Ovis aries: one gene and its partners. The protein of the gene in region 3 purifies or fractionates together with the protein of the main gene of each other region. This does not show direct contact. Links are inferred from orthologs where the notes say so. Each region holds a gene or a part of one and is shown on either strand. Other genes may lie near its edges. The genes, in order: COPRS, WDR77, RIOK1 and EFTUD2.

What was found.
Region 1: the proteins of RIOK1 (region 3) and COPRS purify together in Homo sapiens (affinity purification with mass spectrometry; 3 studies listed by BioGRID and IntAct, with this or other methods). This does not show direct contact. The link is inferred for Ovis aries from reciprocal best matches to the Homo sapiens genes RIOK1 and COPRS.
Region 2: the proteins of RIOK1 (region 3) and WDR77 purify together in Homo sapiens (affinity purification with mass spectrometry; 5 studies listed by BioGRID and IntAct, with this or other methods). This does not show direct contact. The link is inferred for Ovis aries from reciprocal best matches to the Homo sapiens genes RIOK1 and WDR77.
Region 4: the proteins of RIOK1 (region 3) and EFTUD2 purify together in Homo sapiens (affinity purification with mass spectrometry; 3 studies listed by BioGRID). This does not show direct contact. The link is inferred for Ovis aries from reciprocal best matches to the Homo sapiens genes RIOK1 and EFTUD2.

What each region holds. Positions count from the first base shown.
Region 1 is NC_056064.1:18,000,700-18,005,198, forward strand, and holds the start of COPRS (coordinator of PRMT5 and differentiation stimulator), read left to right. Parts: upstream 1-1,484; 5' UTR 1,485-1,522; coding exon 1,523-1,621; intron 1,622-4,195; coding exon 4,196-4,247; intron 4,248-4,499. UniProt on the Homo sapiens protein: Histone-binding protein required for histone H4 methyltransferase activity of PRMT5.
Region 2 is NC_056054.1:88,869,211-88,873,763, reverse strand, and holds the start of WDR77 (methylosome protein WDR77), read left to right. Parts: upstream 1-1,381; 5' UTR 1,382-1,462; coding exon 1,463-1,577; intron 1,578-1,828; coding exon 1,829-2,014; intron 2,015-4,049; coding exon 4,050-4,191; intron 4,192-4,553. Other genes in the region: ATP5PB (ATP synthase F(0) complex subunit B1, mitochondrial), read right to left, coding at 760-796, 1,073-1,112. UniProt on the Homo sapiens protein: Non-catalytic component of the methylosome complex, composed of PRMT5, WDR77 and CLNS1A, which modifies specific arginines to dimethylarginines in several spliceosomal Sm proteins and histones.
Region 3 is NC_056073.1:47,116,109-47,120,004, forward strand, and holds part of RIOK1 (serine/threonine-protein kinase RIO1), read right to left. Parts: intron 3,721-3,896; coding exon 3,516-3,720; intron 2,760-3,515; coding exon 2,669-2,759; intron 1,804-2,668; coding exon 1,734-1,803; intron 371-1,733; coding exon 328-370; intron 1-327. UniProt on the Homo sapiens protein: Involved in the final steps of cytoplasmic maturation of the 40S ribosomal subunit. Involved in processing of 18S-E pre-rRNA to the mature 18S rRNA. Required for the recycling of NOB1 and PNO1 from the late 40S precursor.
Region 4 is NC_056064.1:44,341,547-44,345,936, forward strand, and holds the start of EFTUD2 (116 kDa U5 small nuclear ribonucleoprotein component), read right to left. Parts: upstream 2,921-4,390; 5' UTR 2,869-2,920; exon of another isoform or gene 1,822-2,868; intron 1-1,821. UniProt on the Homo sapiens protein: Required for pre-mRNA splicing as component of the spliceosome, including pre-catalytic, catalytic and post-catalytic spliceosomal complexes. Component of the U5 snRNP and the U4/U6-U5 tri-snRNP complex, a building block of the spliceosome.

The DNA of each region.
Region 1 (4,499 bases), on a different chromosome or scaffold from region 3:
CCAAGTTCTAGAAAAACCTGTTTATAGAGAAGAGTAAAATGGGATTAGAGCTACAATTGCATAAAAAGTTTTTAAACTCTTATGCACTATTAGGTAGATGCAGGTCAATTGACTATTCTAACAGGTTTTGACTTCCAACAAACTGGAAAATTCTGAAAGAGATGGGAATACCAGACCACCTGACCTGCCTCTTGAGAAACCTATGTGCAGGTCAGGAAGCAACAGTTGAGAACTGGACATGGAACAACAGACTGGTTCCAAATAGGAAAAGGAGTACGTCAAGGCTGTATATTGTCACCCTGCTTATTTAACTTATATGCAGAGTACATCATGAGAAACACTGGGCTGGAAGAAGCACAAGCTGGAATCAAGATTGCGGGGAGAAATACCAATGACCTCAGATATGCAGATGACACCACCCTTATGGCAGAAAGTGAAGAGGAACTAAAAAGCCTCCTGATGAAAGTGAAAGAGAAGAGTGAAAAAGTTGGCTTAAAGCTCAACATTCAGAAAACGAAGATCATGGCATCTGGTCCCATCACTTCATGGGAAATAGATGGGGAAACAGTGTCAGACTTTATGTTTTGGGGCTCCAAAATCACTGCAGATAGTGATTGCACCCATGAAATTAAAAGACGCTTACTCCTTGGAAGGAAAGTTATGGCCAACCTAGATAGCATATTCAAAAGCAGAGACATTACTTTGCCAACAAAAGTCCATCTAGTCAAGGCTATGGTTTTCCAGTGGTCATGTATGGATGTGAGAGTTGGACTGTGAAGCAGGCTGAGAGCCGAAGAATTGATGCTTTTGAACTGTGGTGTTGGAGAAGGCTCTTGAGAGTCCCTTGGACTGCAAGGAGATCCAACCAGTCCATCCTAAAGGAGATCAGTCCTGGGTGTTCTTTGGAAGGACTGATGCTGAAGCTGAAACTCCAATACTTTGGCCACCTCATGGGAAGAGTTGACTCATTGGAAAAGACTCTGATGCTGGGAGGGATTGGGGGCAGGAGGAGAAGGGGACAACAGAGGATGAGATGGCTGGATGGCATCACCGACTCGATGGAGTTGAGTTTGAGTGAACTCTGGGAGTTGGTGATGGACAGGGAGGCCTGGCGTGCTGCTTTTCATGGGGTTGCAAAGAGTTGGACACGACTGAGCGACTGAACTGAACTGAACGGGTTTTGAAGGAAAGCATGTCAATTGTGATTGGGTAGGGGTAACACTCAGGCGTTCCAGACCCAGCTAGTCCTCTAGCCCTGGGACCTGCATCGCCAGTGGCTACAAAAATTAAGATTCAGGACGGTTGGGTGGACTAGGCTTTCGGAGGCGGGCACTCCCCGCCCCTTACTCCGCCCCGTCCGTTGCCCCGCCCCTGGCTCCCTCTTGACCCCCCGCGCCCCGCCCCCCGGCCGAGAGCACCCCAGGCTGATTGGCCCTCAACGGCGTATCCTCGGGCCGGCAGCCAGGCCGGCGCGTCACGTGGCCGAGCGGCGACCTGGGCGCCGAGCCGCGGGCAGACAGGCATGGACCCTCCGACCGCCGGGGCCCAGGCGCTGGGGGCCGCGGAGCAGCCGCGGGGTCTGCAGCTGCCGAGCGGGCGGGAGGCGCCCCCGATTCCGGGGGTGAGCGCGGCGCGGGGCCTGGGCGCGTCCACCACCTGCGGTCGGCGGCGGGAAGTTGCGGGGGCTCGCGGGGCGTGGGCCATGGAACCGGGGAAGCGCTCCCGGCCCTCCTCGGGCAGCCCGGCCGTTTGGGCGCGCGCCCGAGCTGGAAACAGCCGGGCCGCGGGACTGTGGGGCGGGGCAACCTCGAGGACGTGGGTGGGCGCGCCGGGCTGGGAGAGCTGGCTGTTGGCTCCAGGGCGCCTTTGCGTCCTTGCTAAATGGGAGGTGATGCTGCTGACCGAGAGCTGGGGCTGCTGCTCGGGGGCCTGGGCTGGGGCGAGGTGAGGGCTGCGAGGAGAGCTACTTTCCCTGAAGGATCCGTGTCCCATGGTGGGGATGCTCAGCTAAGCCGGAGCACCGGATGATGGCTCCTGCGCGCTCTCCTTTCACTGAAACCAAAAGGCCGCGTTTGACGCAGGGTTTCTAGAAACTTGTTTTCTTTTGCGCGCCAGACAGCTCCCGGTTTCTGAAAGACTGCTATTACAGTCATGTCCTGCCCTTGTTCAATAATCCCTTTTAGACGGTGAGCTCCTTGAGGGTAGGAACGCTCTATTTAGTGCTGAAAACCCGGTGCGTAGCGTAGTGCCTGGCACTTCACACACGCATATTTATTAACTGGATGGAAGAGGAATGCTTATCTAAGCATCAGAGACATCCTAACCAAAATAAGATAGGAAAAATGTAGTGGTAGGCTTATAAAGAATATTACTTTACCGGGCAGGTAGGATGAGACTGATTTTGGCAGGCCACAGCAGGAAGGTTCCTGCACTTCCTCTCCAAGATGAGAGGATAGTGGTCGTGGCAGAGGCGTGGAGATGAGGATGTGCAGGGCAGATGGTTGGGAGCTTGGAGAGAGAACTGTGCTGCACAAGTTGATGGAGCCTGAAGGGACAATGTGGATGCCATGGCGAATTTTGTACTCTAGCAGTGGAGGCCTGTTGAGGTTTCTGGGCAGAGTGGTGATTTCCAGTGTGAGGCTGTGGCCAGATGGATGAGTGTGGGACCCTGGTGGTCCAGTGGCTAAGACTCTGTGTTCCCAATGCAGGGGACCCTGGTGGGGGCTCTCATATGCTGTAACTAATACCTGGTGCAGCCAAATTAAAAAAAAGAAAACGTGGGTGAGTGGGAAGGCAGTTAAGGAGCTCTTGCAATAGAAGAGGTGAGAAGTCCCACTATTGGTCAGCAGGGGTGACCGGGAATTGTCACCGACTACTGGAGATGGAATTAGCTCATTAAATCCAGGTAGGACTAGGTTGTGAGCTAACGAGCAGGTGCCAAGTACAGTTTAAATATAGGGGCAAAGAAGGTGGGTTTCAGCTCAATAAATGTTATATTCCTGCTGTGTGCTAGGTGTCTTCATCAGTGTTATCTCATTATAAACCTCCTGCTGGGTTAGAACAGTTGTCCCCAATTTCCAGAGACAGAAACCCAGGCATGGTGGCTGAAGTGATGTGTCCCAGGTATACTCTGAGTGAATGGGATTGAAGTCACGCCTTCTCATGCAGGCTGTGAACATTTCTCGCCTCACTTAGAAAGACATCTTCACAGGTGATAGGATTTCAGGAACGAACTCTTTTTTTGTTTTTGGCCGTACTGCCCAGATATGGGATCTTAGTTCCCCGACCAGGGATTGAACCCATGCCCCCTGCATTGGAAGCTTGGAGTCTTAGCCACTGGATTGCCAGGGAAGTCACAGGATTTCAGAACTTTTGCGCGGTGGGAGCAGAGAAACCTAGCGATGGCTATGAAGGAAGACGATTTCCTGTCAACCGCTGATTTCCCTTGAACAGCTAAAGCTCTTTAGTCCTCCTGTGTCAGTCAGGAGATGAAATCTGATAAAAGAGCTATTAGCTAGATAAAAAGTTAAGGTAAAAATGAACATGGAGGTATCCACTGCAGGGAAACAGCAACCGGCCCCAGGGCTGAGGGAACAAAGGGGTGAGATTGGAATGACTAAAATGTGCAAGCTCAGAGGAGAATTTCAGGGAGCTGAAATTCCAGCCTCTGAGGACGGGGTGCTGTCCTGGCTAGTTTGGAGTCTCTGAGCTTGGAGGAGGAGACCAGACCTCTCAAGACAGGGCCTGGTGAGGGACTTCCTTGGTGGCCCAGTGGCTAAGACTCCACGCTTCAATGCAGGCAGCCTGGGTTTGATCCCTGGTCAGGGAACTAGATCCCACATGCCAAAATTAAAGATCTCAAGTGCTGCAGCTTAAGAGGTGGTGCAGCCAAATACATATTGAAAAAAAAAAAAAAAAGATAGGGCCCAGCGAGGAGACTGGCTCTGTATGTGCTGGCAGCCTGTACACTGGATTCAGTAGGCACTCTGTGAAGGCAGGTGATCCTGCCGGCAGGGGTGATGCCCACAGGAATGGGAAGCAGCAAGTCCCAATGTAACAGGGCACAGTAGAAATGTGGGTTGCAGGGTCCCACCCCAGCCTCGCAAAGGAGGGTCTGAAAGGGTGGATATGGGGCTGAAATACTGGCCATTCCCGAGATATCCAAGTCCTGGGTCCTTGTTTCTTCTTCCTGCAGGCTGACCACTCCAATCAGGAGAGAGCGCCTGAGAACGCCACAGATCGGCTAGGCAAGTAGGCGACAGAGGCGGGGGTGGCTCTTGGGAGAGACCAAGGAAGTCTGTACTGTGAAAGCTTATCGTTGCCAGAAAACCTTTCCCTGCATGTCATTTAAACCACCTGAAAATACACACTGCCCGATTTCCTCATGTGAATGAAAAGATTGGTAATGAATGGCCTTGTTTAAGATAGAACATCTTATTGAAAATAAATTATCAACCCTACTTCTAAAACTGGGAACAGAACGACAGTAATTAAATAAG
Region 2 (4,553 bases), on a different chromosome or scaffold from region 3:
CATAATCCATAACAAACTGTTCTCTCTATTTTGCGTATGGAGAAATTAAGGTCCCACAGCTTGTTAAGCAGAGGAGCCAAGTTTACTCTCAGCTTCGGAGTCCTCATTGTAAACTGCTCTATAGCTACCTCCTCTGCTGTGTGAAGGTAGGTACTTAACCATATAATTTCTTTAGTTTTGGTTATGGAGGTGCAAGATAAATATTTGCTGAAACACTGAATAATTTCTCTGATCTGACAGTAAAATTTGGAATCTGGGAGACAGATTAAAAACTACACGTTTCATTTTTCAATTTAACAAAACTTGCCCTTGGATATGCAATCTAATGGCACCCCACTCCAGTACTCTTGCCTGGAAAATCCCATGGACGGAGGAGCCTGGTACGCTGCAGTCCACGGGGTCGCATAGAGTCGGACACGACTGAAGCGACTTAGCAGCAGCAGCAGCAATCCCGATACAGGTTGCGGCAGCTCTGTCTAGCTGAAGGTCACAAGGGAGAGGGGCGGGGCTCAGGAGACACCAAAACCAGTTTCTAAACAGTTTAGTTAGCACACATTACTTTTTCTCTTAACCTCTACTATTAGATGATACAATAGTGTTCCAGGCAGTTACAGAATCACACGTGAATTAGACGTTAAGCGTTCCAATATAACCAAAATGAAGGTAATTATTGGCTTAAAGCTAAAAGCAGATTAACCCAGAAGTGAAATGAGGTGATAAAGCAAGGGCCAAAGGAAATATTACATCCCTTACACTTACCCTGGACCGAGGAAGGCTGCGTTCTTCAGAGACGGGGCTACAAAAATACGAAGCGTAGGTTAGCAAGGTCACGGTGAAATCTGGTTTGCCCCTTCCTCGGCCCCACAGAGCTCAATCACTAAGGCCATGTGTCCTCCATTCCTACCCCCAGGACCCCACACTCACCTTCTGAGCGGCGCTCCTCACTCTTCACTCAGACCCAAGTCTCACTGCGCTTTTCTTCACGCCCTTTCCTCCCACCCGCTCCAAGCAACCACAGACGCCTTGTTTTACAATCACCCTGCTATCCAGGACCAGGGTGTGTACTTCTCACCTGCTGCGGCGGCGGCAGAAAGTACCACCCGGGACAGCATTGTCAGGTAGCGTTCGCACAGCAATCTTCCCGCCCCAGTGACCCCGACAGAAGAAACTGTCAGGGACAGAAGCAAGATGGACGCTCACAAGTCTCGCGAGAAGAGAACTTCGTGCCCTCTCCGTCAACTTCCCGTCTTTTTACCCCTCGCGATAAGAAGCAGAGAGCCGGTTGCGGGAGGGTGCAGGCGGGAAAGCCGGCTGGGCTCTTAGAAGCAGCTCTCGCGAGATGTAGGGAGGCTGTAACTTGCCTAGAGGGGCGGAGGCCGGAGAGGAACCACGTGGGGACTCCTGGAGCTGAATCTCAGGCGGGCATCCAGTCTGGGTCTAGATTGAAGTTGGAACCGTGGAGATGCGGAAGGAAACACCGCCGACCCTAGTGCCCCCGGCAGCCCGGGAGTGGAACCTTCCCCCTAATGCTCCCGCTTGTATGGAGCGGCAATTGGAGGCTGCGCGGTACCGGTCTGGTGAGCCTGGGTCCTAGGCCGGGGAGTTTCCTTATCCCACCCCGGAGTGCCCCTTCCTGGGAATAAACCTTCCAGCCCGCACCTCGATTCCCCCGCTTGCCAGCCTGACCCCTGCTTCGCTTCGCTGAGCTCACCCCAGCCGTGCCCCGCGTTCCCGGGCTCGGGTCCAGATGCATCTAGCGGGCTGCTGGGCGGTTACCAGGGAAACGAGCCTCTCCACTCCTCATGCTGACATCTTGTATCTCCTTTAGATGGGGCGCTTCTGCTTGGGGCTTCCAGCCTGAGTGGCCGCTGCTGGGCTGGCTCTCTCTGGCTTTTCAAGGACCCTTGTGCCGCTCCGAACGAAGGTTTCTGCTCTGCTGGAGTCCAGACGGAGGCCGGAGTGGCTGACCTCACTTGGGTAGGGGACCGAGGTATCCTAGTGGCTTCTGATTCAGGTGGGTCACTTGCTCCTCAGCTGTACAGGTGGAATGGAGGTCGGGCTGGGCTCAATTTTTAATGTCCCATACTCGGTGAAGGGATTCCAGGTGAGATGCTTCAAATCCTAAAAGATGATGTAGTTAAAGTGCTGCACTCAATATGCCAGCAAATTTGGAAAACTCAGCAGTGGCCACAGGACTGGAAAAGGTCAATTTTCATTCCAATCCCAAAGAAGGGCAATGTCAAAGAATGTTCAGATTCACACGATTGCACTCAATTCACATGCTGGCGAGGTAATGCTCAAAATCCTCCAAGCTAGGCTTCAACAGTATGTGAACTGAGAACTTCCAGACGTTCAAGCTGAATTTAGAAAAGACAGAGGAACCAGAGATCAAATTGTCAACATCCACTGGATCATAGAAAAAGCTAGAGAATTTCAGAAAAACATCTACTACTTCATTGACTTATGCTAATGCCTTTGACTATGTGGATCACAGTAAACTGTGGAAAATTCTTAAAGAGATGGGAATACCAGACCATTTTACCTGATAAACCTGTATACAGATCAAGAAGTGACGGTTAGAACTGGGTGTGGAAAATTAGAACTGGACAGGTTCCAAATTGGGAAAGGAGTATGTCAAGGCTGTTTATTGTTACTCTGCTTATTTAACTTATATGCAGAGTACATCATGGGAAATAACAGGCTGGATGAAGCACAAGCTGGAATCAGGAGAGAGATCAATAACCTCAGATATGCAGATGACACCCTTATGGCAGAAAGTGAAGAGTAACTAAAGAGCCTCTTGATGAAGGTGAAAGAGGAGAGTAAAAAAGCTAGCTTAAAACTCAACATTCAGCAAACGAAGATCATAGCATCTGGTCCCGTCACTTCATGGCAAATAGATGGGGAAACAATGAAAACAGTGGCAGACTTTATTTTCTTGGGCTCCAAAATCACTGTGGATGGTGCCTGCAGCCATGAAATTAAAAGACGCTTGCTCCTTGAATGAAAAGCTACAATAAACCTAGACAGCGTATTAAAAGCAGAGATATCACTTTGCCCACAAAGGTCCAATATAGACAAAACAACTTTTTTTTCTAGTCATGTATGGATGTGAGGGTTGGACCATAAAGCAGGCTGAGTGCCAAAGAGTTAATGCTTTGGAACTGCAGTGCTGGAGAAGACTTTTGAGAGATCAAACCAGTCAATCCAAAAGGAAATCAACCCTGAATATTCTTTGGAAGGGCTAATGCTGAAGCTGAAGCTCCAGTACACTGGCCAACTGATGCAAAGAACCAACTCATTGGACAAGACCCAGATGCTGGGAAAAACTGAAGGCAGGAGGAAAAGGGGACGACAGAAGATTTGATGGTTGGATGGCATCACTGACTCATCAATGGACATGAGTTTGAGCAAACTCAAGGAGTTAGTGAAGGAGAGGGAAGCCTGGTGTGCTGTAGCCCATGGGGTCACAGGGAATTCGATGTGACTTAGAGACTGAACAATAGCAACAACATACTCCTTGCTTGGGGGAGCTTGAAGGTTTTGGTCCCAAAGGAGAATAACTGTGTGGGTAGGATATACCCGTCCCAAGATTCCAAATTGGTGGAAATTTCTAGCAAAATTCATAACAAAATTAAGACATGAATGAAACTGTTTTTCTCTGTATCCACCCAACATCAAGGATGATATTGATCTTAAAGATGATGCTGAAACCAGTCTATGCTCTTTCCATTTCTTCCCAGTTTCTTACATGTCTTCATTCTGCTTTCTTTGTTTTGAATGTCAGACTTAGTGGAAAAACCAGTGGAGGGTTTCATGTTTAAAAAAAAAAAAGAATAGAGGTGTTGGCAGGCATTGCATGGAAGGATAAAGCTGGGACAATTAATGTCCAAATAACTGGGACTATTTAATAATACTAAACTGTGTGCTGTTCATATCATTGTGGAGGTGTCATCCTTGTCTCTCAAGAACTTAGCATCCTAGAAGTGAAGTGCTGTCTTGGTGTAACCCCAGCTTGTTTCCTTCACCGTCTTCCCCACCCTCAACAGGTGCTGTTGAATTGTGGGAGCTGGATGAGAATGAGACGCTTATTGTCAGCAAGTTCTGCAAGTATGAGCACGATGACATCGTGTCTACAGTCAGTGTCCTGAGCTCTGGCACACATGCTGTCAGTGGTAGCAAAGACTTCTGGTGGGTCCCCACTCTCATTGCTCCTGTTTCTGGGCCTTCTTTGGGTGTCTTAGGTGTCACATTAGCCTCACTAAGTAATGTTTTGGGCTCATTATAAGAACCCAGTGACTAATTATGGCATACCTGTAAGGTTTCTTGGACTTCCCTGGTGGCTCAGACGGTAAAGCGTCTTGCTTACAATGAGGGAGACCTGGGTTCAATCCCTGGGTCGGGAAGATCCTCTGGAGAAGGAAATGGCACCCCACTCCAGTACTCTTGCCTGGAAAATCCCGTGGACAGAGGAGCGTGGTGGGCTGCAGTCCATGGGGCTGCAGAGAGTCGGACAGGACTGAGCGACTTCACTTTCACTTTCATAAGGTTTC
Region 3 (3,896 bases):
GCTCACAAAATTTCCGCAGACCTTGTTTGAGACAAAAGAAAAGATTCCTGGTCTTACAGGCAGTTCTGCTTCCCCCAAGAAGATGAAAGCACTGCTGGGTGGCTTCATGGGCCATTCTGCAGGGCATGATTCTAATTTATCTATTTAAAGTGCTTTCAGAAATAAAGCAAAATGTAGATCTCTAAACTCAAAACTATGAGGAGGAGCAATTTTACACAAAAGCAATTCTAGGTGACATTAGCATGAAGCAAGGAGGATCAAAGCAAATCATGATTCAAAGACAGAAGCACTACTTTAAAGAGCGCAACACATTCATTTACACCATACCTGTTCTACAGTTGCTCTGTCCGCCTTATCTTTGATGCGATACCTAAGACAAAACCAAAAAAGTAAAGGTGACATTCAAAATTCAGAGGAGCCAAAATCAAAAGGTTCTAAATGTACATTATTCCATGATATTCCTAAGCAGGTAGTTCTTTAATAACGCATTTCATAACCTCGTTGTAGTTTCACCATTGTGTGAAACTTCACTGCCTTTAACAAGCCGTTCAGTTCCCTAGGGCAAAGGGAGCGTATCTGCAGTAAGAAAAAAAAACTTTCATCCATATTTCAGAAGGATTAAATAAGAGTAGTGGGGTAAAACAAACTATGCTGGAAAAAGAGAACAAGTCTGTAAGTACTATTTCTTAAACCATTAATGATTTTCTCAGTACAGAATTAAAGTAATTTATAAGGCTTTCTCTTCAGAGTCCTTTTCTACAAAGAAACAAGCTTTTATCATTTCAACACAGCTACTGCACAAAAACATAGACTCTGATTACTCTGGCTCATATACTATGTGACTCAATTCACAGACTAACCTAAACCAATGAAAGAGCCAAACAGGCAGTTTAGTGACATACGATGGGCTGTTTCTCAAAAAGCTGGTATCCCTTATGTGTAATAATAAACCAGAAGAAAATTGCGTTTTAGTTTTCAGTTCAGTTCTAACACTGCTATTTTTATGATCTTAGTGTTTTCTGTAACATGTTGTTAATGCTTTAGAGCTATTAGCAACAGGAGGTGAGCCAAGTCTTAAACATTTGTTTTTGAGAATAGAAATGTAAATGGAAACTGTTTTCAGTTAAACTATTTAGTTCTAAATCTGCTCTTACATTTTTAAGGCTACCCCAGTGGCTCAGTTGGTAAAGAATCTGCCTGCAATGCAGGAGACCCGGGTTTAATCCCTGGGTAGGGAAGATCCCCTGGAGGAGGAAATGGCAACCCACTTCAGTATTCTTGCCCAGAGAATCCCATGGACAGAGGAGCTGGGCATGTCCAGTCTGTGGGATTGCAAAGAGTTGGACACAACTGAGCAACTAACTTTCACTTTCCATTTTAAAAAAATACTTCATGGAAGGGACCAATCCTTAATAAGCTCTAAAAAGGGGACATTTTTTTATACTCTAACATTTTAGTTTAAACTGAAATCTACAAGCACTGTTACCCTGAGAGCACTTTCATGAATTTTACACGATTATAGTTTTAGCACAGATTTCTTAAGAAAACTCATCTAATATTTTCAAGTTAGAAACGCACAGGATATCCTCACTTAAACTTAAGAATTGGTTTAGGTATAAAAAGGAACATCCTTTGTAAAAGAATTACGACAGACGTGCTACTATCTGTCTACAATTAGTTCATATCAGTCACGTTTTATTTACTCTACTGTATATACTTGATATCTTACTTACATATCTGCTTCCTTTTGTCGAGACTTTTCAGTGACTTTGTTTATTACAGAATCAGTAACATTTAGCTTGTCTAAAAAAAAAAAATCCACAACATAAACAACATATAAGCCAAAGTTTCTAAACAGGATACTTTTCCCCTTTCCCTTCTCTACTTTCTAAATATTTTATTACACGGAGTTATGTATTTTAGTAATGAAAAGTGTGTTTTGTGTTTTTAAGGGTAAGCACTTACTAACAAAGATGATCACTTTCATCATGACAGGTGTCATTTCTCAGCCAGAGAAATCTAGATTCAGAAATCCCTAAAAAATATTCTATCTGCTCTTTCAGACATTTAATATTTTGTACAACTATCATAAATATTATAATTCTAAAAATGTCAGTTTCACTTCCAATTACAGGTCTGTGCTAGGGATGATCAGATGTGAGAGCTGTCATACCAGGCTCCTAACAGCCTTTGTCTACGAGAGAAAGAAGACCCCGTGTTTCCCAAGAGGCTTCAAATTCACACTGTGATTCCCTGGATTCGACGGGTCATTAAATGATTAATGCCACACCGAAAGTCAAACAAAATGTGAGTACATTCAATAGTTGATTATATTCAACACTTGACTATATTCAAGTGTTTCCACCATTCTACTACAAGGTAACCCTACTACAAATCTAATACAGAACCGATGATAACCTGAATGAGCATCTGTACCTTTGTATTTCCATAACAGGAGAGAACACAGGACTAAAAAAGTGTAAGCTAGAGTCTTTTCTTGAAGTCATGTTTTTAATTACTAAATTTTAATTTCCTTTAAGCTTTATTATTTACCCTGTAACACTGAATATATCCATTGATTGATCTAATAAAATTTTATAACACTTTTTGTTGTCTTTGAAGAGTTTTCTCATTACCTAGTGAGAGGAACTGTATCTTAAAAACTCACCTAGATTAATTTTATTCTCAAATTTCCGTAAAACTTTGTCTGCTGGAGTAGACATTTTGGCTGCATTGAAGCTGGGAGTCTGTCTATTGGCCTAGAAGAAATGAGTTCCAGAGATGAAAGCTCTAGATATACATACAAGCCTAAATTTCATCCCATCTTCCCTTGGTTCATAGTTAATTATTAAAGCATCAATACTTAGGGGAGTACCCTAAGGGAAGGGAAGGATCAATTACATTTGCCCAAGAGGGTTTTAAAAATGCACTTGAAATATGCTAGACATTCAGAGACGTCTTCTTTTTTAAAAGGACTTTTTGTGGCTCTGGAATTTACTAAAAGATCTGCAGGCTATGTTGCTCTGCAGTCCTAGGCTACACAGACTTTCATTCTTCATCATTTCCATATTGCTGATAATGATGTGGATTCATTCCATAATCAGTAAATTTAAAAATTATTTAAATCATCATAAGATTAAGAGCCTTAAAAAAACTGCCTGGGAGAAGACACAAATATGCAGTTCACTGCAAATAGTAACAAAACAGAGAAAAGTGCAGCTTAACTAGTAAATAAAGAAAAGCACATTAAGTATGTAGAGGTGCTTTGTTTTCACTTATGAACAGACAAGAGACACTTAGCGCCTAATGGGGACACAGGTTCAGTTTAGCAAAGTGAACAATTCGGGAGCCGGACCCTGGTGAGAGTGCGCAGCACCGCTGAACACTGAACTGTGCAGTTAGCTGTGGTGAAGACACGGTACACTTTATATTATGTGACTTTTACCATAACAGAAAACAACTCAAGAGGACATAAGCAAACAACGCAAAGACATACAGGACTGTGTATAAAATACCTGAGGGTTACTCCCTCCACCTGAAGCGAAACACCGGGTGAGCTTTCCGACTCCATCGCCCCAGGCCCAGTCATCGTCATCGTCATCCTCCCCGTCCTCCTCCTCTTCCGGCTCACTCTCACCCATCTTCTCATTGGCGTTACTCTGAAGGTCTTCAAATACAGCATCACCTTCCTCTTTGACGGTATTCAAGTCAATGTTTTCACTAGAAATAACAATGTTTTAGCCTGTTTACACATTCTTAACTGGACTTACATATGTATTTACTTAAGAGAGAGTAGACGACTCTATACAGATACATCAAAAAGGTTCAGGTACAGCATGTATCGCCCAGTAAATTCAAACTTAATACCAAGTTGTCCTGTTTCTGAGTTCTATTTC
Region 4 (4,390 bases), on a different chromosome or scaffold from region 3:
TTCACACACTCTCCTCTCCAGTTACATCAACCCACCAACTGCTCCTCTAAAGCCCTGTACTTTTCCCTGCTCTCTGTCCTAATCCTGTGTCTGTTTACATACACTGCGCCCACTTCCTCCCCTCCCCTCCACCAGGGCTTGAACCCATGCCCCCTGCAGTAGAAGCATGGAGTCCTACCACTGGACTGCCAGGGAAGTCCCAGCCCACTTGTTTGTTTGTTTTTTTAATACTAAAAGAATTTTAATTTTAAAATAATTAAATACAGGAAGTTGCAAAAACAGTGCACATCACTTTTTCCTAAGTTATTTGAGAATAAGTTGCTGACACAATGTCTCATCACCTCCTCAGACTTTAGTGCAGAAGTTGGTAAACTATAGCCTGTGGCCAAATCTGGCTGTTCTCATAACGGCCTGGAAGGTATGATTTTTAAAATATTTTTAAACAGTTGGAAAAAAAAGTCAAAGGACGAGTGTTTCATGATACATGACAATTAGTTCTATGAAATTCAAATTTCAGTGTCTATGAAAACAGCTTTACTAGAACACAGCCATGCCCCTTTCTTTATACCGTCTGTGACTGCTTTCAGCCTGTAACAGCTGAGTAGCTGCCTCTGAGACTATATGGCCACAGAGCCTAAAATACTTACTATCTGGCCCTTAATAGACAAAGTTTGCCAACCCCTGTTCTTAGCGCACATGATTCCTACAAACAAGGACATTCTTCTGCATAACCACAATACAACCATCAAAATCAGAAAATACTGACACATCACTACACCTAATCCACAGGCCCCCATACAAGTTTCAGAAATTGTTCCACTAATGTCCTGCACAGCAGAGGATTCCATGTTTGCACCTGGCTATCATGTCTTCAGTCTCTTTCAATCTGGAACAATCCTTGGCCTTTCCTTGATTTCTGTGACTTGACGCTTTTGAAGATTACAGGCTAGTGAGTTTGTAGAATGTTCCTGAATTTAAGTTTGTCTGATGTTTCCTCATGATTAGAGTCAAGTTATGCTTTTTTTTTTTGGTAAGACTATCACAGTAGTGAGGCTGTGCTCTTTTCGGTGCAACTCCTAACAAGTGGCATATGATTTTAATTTCTCCCATCAGTGGTGATGTTAACGTAACCACTTGATTGTGGTGGTGTCTACCAGGCTTTTCCACTGTATAAAGTTACTTGTTTTCTCTCCGCAGTTCATAAATATTTCGTGGGCTGTCTCCACTTCAAGTATTGAAATTCTATTCAAAATAACTGTTCAAAGACCATTTCCTTCAAGTCTTCCTTGAGCCTCAATTTCTCACTCACCTATGATGCCACAGCCTTTTGTGTCTTTATCAGCATTTACTTCTGTCATCAACGGTAGTTAACTGCATTAACTACCCTCAACAACAACTCTACAGCTTACAAGTAATAGACAACAGACCAGAGCATGGGTTACTGGTCAGGGCTCTGGAACTGGCAGACCTAGATTTGAATCCAAACTTTGTCACTTAATAACTATGTCACTTTCAGTAAGCCCTTCACCTCTCCAAGCCTGTTTCTTCAATTGGAAAATAAAGTGATTAATTTTCACCACATAAAGCATTATGAGAATTAAAAAAAATAGGCTGTGTAAAGAATTCATCATGATTCCAGGATCAATCAATGTTAACTGGCATTATTTTTTAGCCATTCTTTTGTCTGTTTTATTTGTATTTTTTAGTTAAAAAACTTTTTTGGCCATTCTTGAATACAGGAACCCTGTGCTCCTTGTGCCCATGTGCCAATGCCCAAGACACCACTTCACATGAGTAGGCACTAGATAAATGTTAACTGACCAGAAGGTTCAATTTTGAGATACTGGTATTTCTTCCACAACGGTAATCCCTCCACCTCCTTCAGTGCCCCTTGTGGAGTGCTGACTGTGGATAAAATAGAGAATTAAGAGCTCCACTACTAATAAGTAAATGTGATTTATCACAGAAACTTTCATATGCATATTCTTTTTATTTCCAAAGAGCTATCATCTCTGTGCACATTTCATTCTCCCAAGACACCCATGAAATGACTGCAGAAATTTCTATACAAGGCTGTTCATGAAATAATCCAAGTCATTTCTGCTTCAGGGCCACTGCACTTACTCTTCTCTTCCAAAATGCTCTTCCCTTGGGCATATATACCTTGTTCCTTCATCTCACTCAGGTCTCTACTAAAACAGCACCTTCTCTGAGAAACCTTCCCTTGTCACTCTAAAAAACTCCCCCCCCCCACACACACATTCTCCAACCCCTATTTTCAATGTTTTATTATTTTTATTAACATTTATCATTAGCTGACAAGTATCTTCGTGTATTTACCGTCACCTCTCCAACTACAGTTTAAGCAAGGACTGTTTTTGTTTTCACTTAAAAGGGTGCCTGCCACAAAACAGAACCACTTACTGAATGACGAAATGTATGGCCCCAACAAGGCACAGAGAAGACAGCTGACCTGCCCACAGTTGCACAAAACTAGTGAATTTCGGTACCAAACTTCACTGCAGCTTCCCGCTACAATGCAGGCTCTCAAAGGAACATAGAGTAACGACGGAGGGAGCTTGATAGAGAAGTGAAGGCGGCACAGTTGGAAGAGAGAGTAAGATAGGGGAATAGACACTGCAAGAACGACCCCTGCCCAGGGAAAGGGTTTTATAGACGGACGACACGCAGGGAACCCAGGAATCGGTTGGGGGGTGGGGGGGCTTTCATTCTCTATCCTACTCCACGCCTCAATTTACCCATCTGTAAAGTGAAAGTGGCATATAACACATAGCATCTCTTCCAAATCTGACTAATTTCCCATTCCACCAGAGCAAGCCTCCCCTGACGCTGACCAGCGCCACTCACCTCCCGCTGCTCAGCCAAAAACTCCCAGTCGGCCGCTGGAGATCGTGCTTCCGCCCCACGCCGCCTCACCGCCTGCGCCCGCCGTTCGGAAGGACCCCACAGGCGCCGCGGTTGCGTTTCTTCCCGGGAGGGCAGCCCTCTGCCTGTGGACCAGCTCGGAGGAATCCCGGCTGCGGACACCGGAACCTGAGAAGAGGAACTGTGGGTCCCCAAACCACGGCGTGGGCTGCTCCAGAGAAAGCGAGGCCTGAGGAGGCGTGAATCTGATCAGGCGCCTCGGGGCCACCCTGACTGGGGGCCTTCGGGGCGATCACGTGGGAGGCTGTTGTAGCAGTTGCTGGGCAACCACAGCTGCTGGGCGTGGTCTACGCTGAGCTGACTTCGTCGGGCAGTGTCTGGGCATCCCCAAAGAAAGAAAGGAAACCGAGGCCCCGGCTGCTGGGGTGAAGGTCAGGGGGCAGGAGGATTAGATGTTCTAGATTTTCAGTGACTGGGAAAGGCTTAGAACTAGGCAGGAGTCAGGACACCTGAGTTCAGTTCCTGGCCAGCCCACCCTACTTCTTGGTCTTTCGCTTACCCATGTTAGGGTGGAGGGTTGGTTTTAGGCCTCCTGCTTCCGTGTTGGGGCTTGCCTGGTGGCTCAGACGGTAAAGAATCTGCCTGCAGTGCTGGAGACCTGGGCCAGGAAGATGCCCTGGAGGAGGAAATGGCAACCCACTCCAGTATTTTTGCCTGGGAGATCCCAGGGACTGAGGAGCTTGGTGGGGATGACTTCGCCAAGTGATCTTTAGCAAATAGCTCGGAGCAGTAGTAGTAAGGTTCAGAAAGGTCTCACAGCAGTAAATGCGGATCCAAGATTAAAACTCGTATAGGTGATCTCTATAGAACGAATCAGTCAGCCTCAGACACCCGGAAGTTGCAGAAGTACAGAGACAGAACTAAAGAGGTTGCCCAAGTACCTAGAGATTTATGCTCCAGCCTTGGGCTGGACAGAGGGGTTTGAGAACGGGGATCATTAAGCCCCTTCCTCTGTCGCGTCCACTTGATTTCCTGCTCAGTCATTGCATCTGGTTTCGGGTGGAAAGTATCTTTTCTCCTTATAAGACATTTAAGTATGGGTGCTTCCCTGGTGGCTCAGATCATAAAGAATCTGCCTGCAGTGTGGGAGACCCGGGTTGGATCCCTGGATCGGGAATATAACACTGGAGAAGGGAATGGCAACCCACTCCAGTATTCTTGCCTGGAGAATTTCATGGACAGAGCCGCCTTCTGTTCAGTTCAGTGCAGTCGCTCAGTCGTGTCCAACTCTTTGCGACCCCACGAAGCGCAGCACATCAGGCCTCCCTGTCCATCACCAACTCCCGGAGTCCACCCAAACCCATGTCCATCGAGTCGATGATGCCATCCAAGAGCCGCGTGGTGGGCTACAATCCATGAGGTCGCAGCTGTGACAGGACAGAACGACTAATGCTTAATTTAGCAATGGGTGAATTTTTATCCCTGGGCTCAAGAATAGCTTACA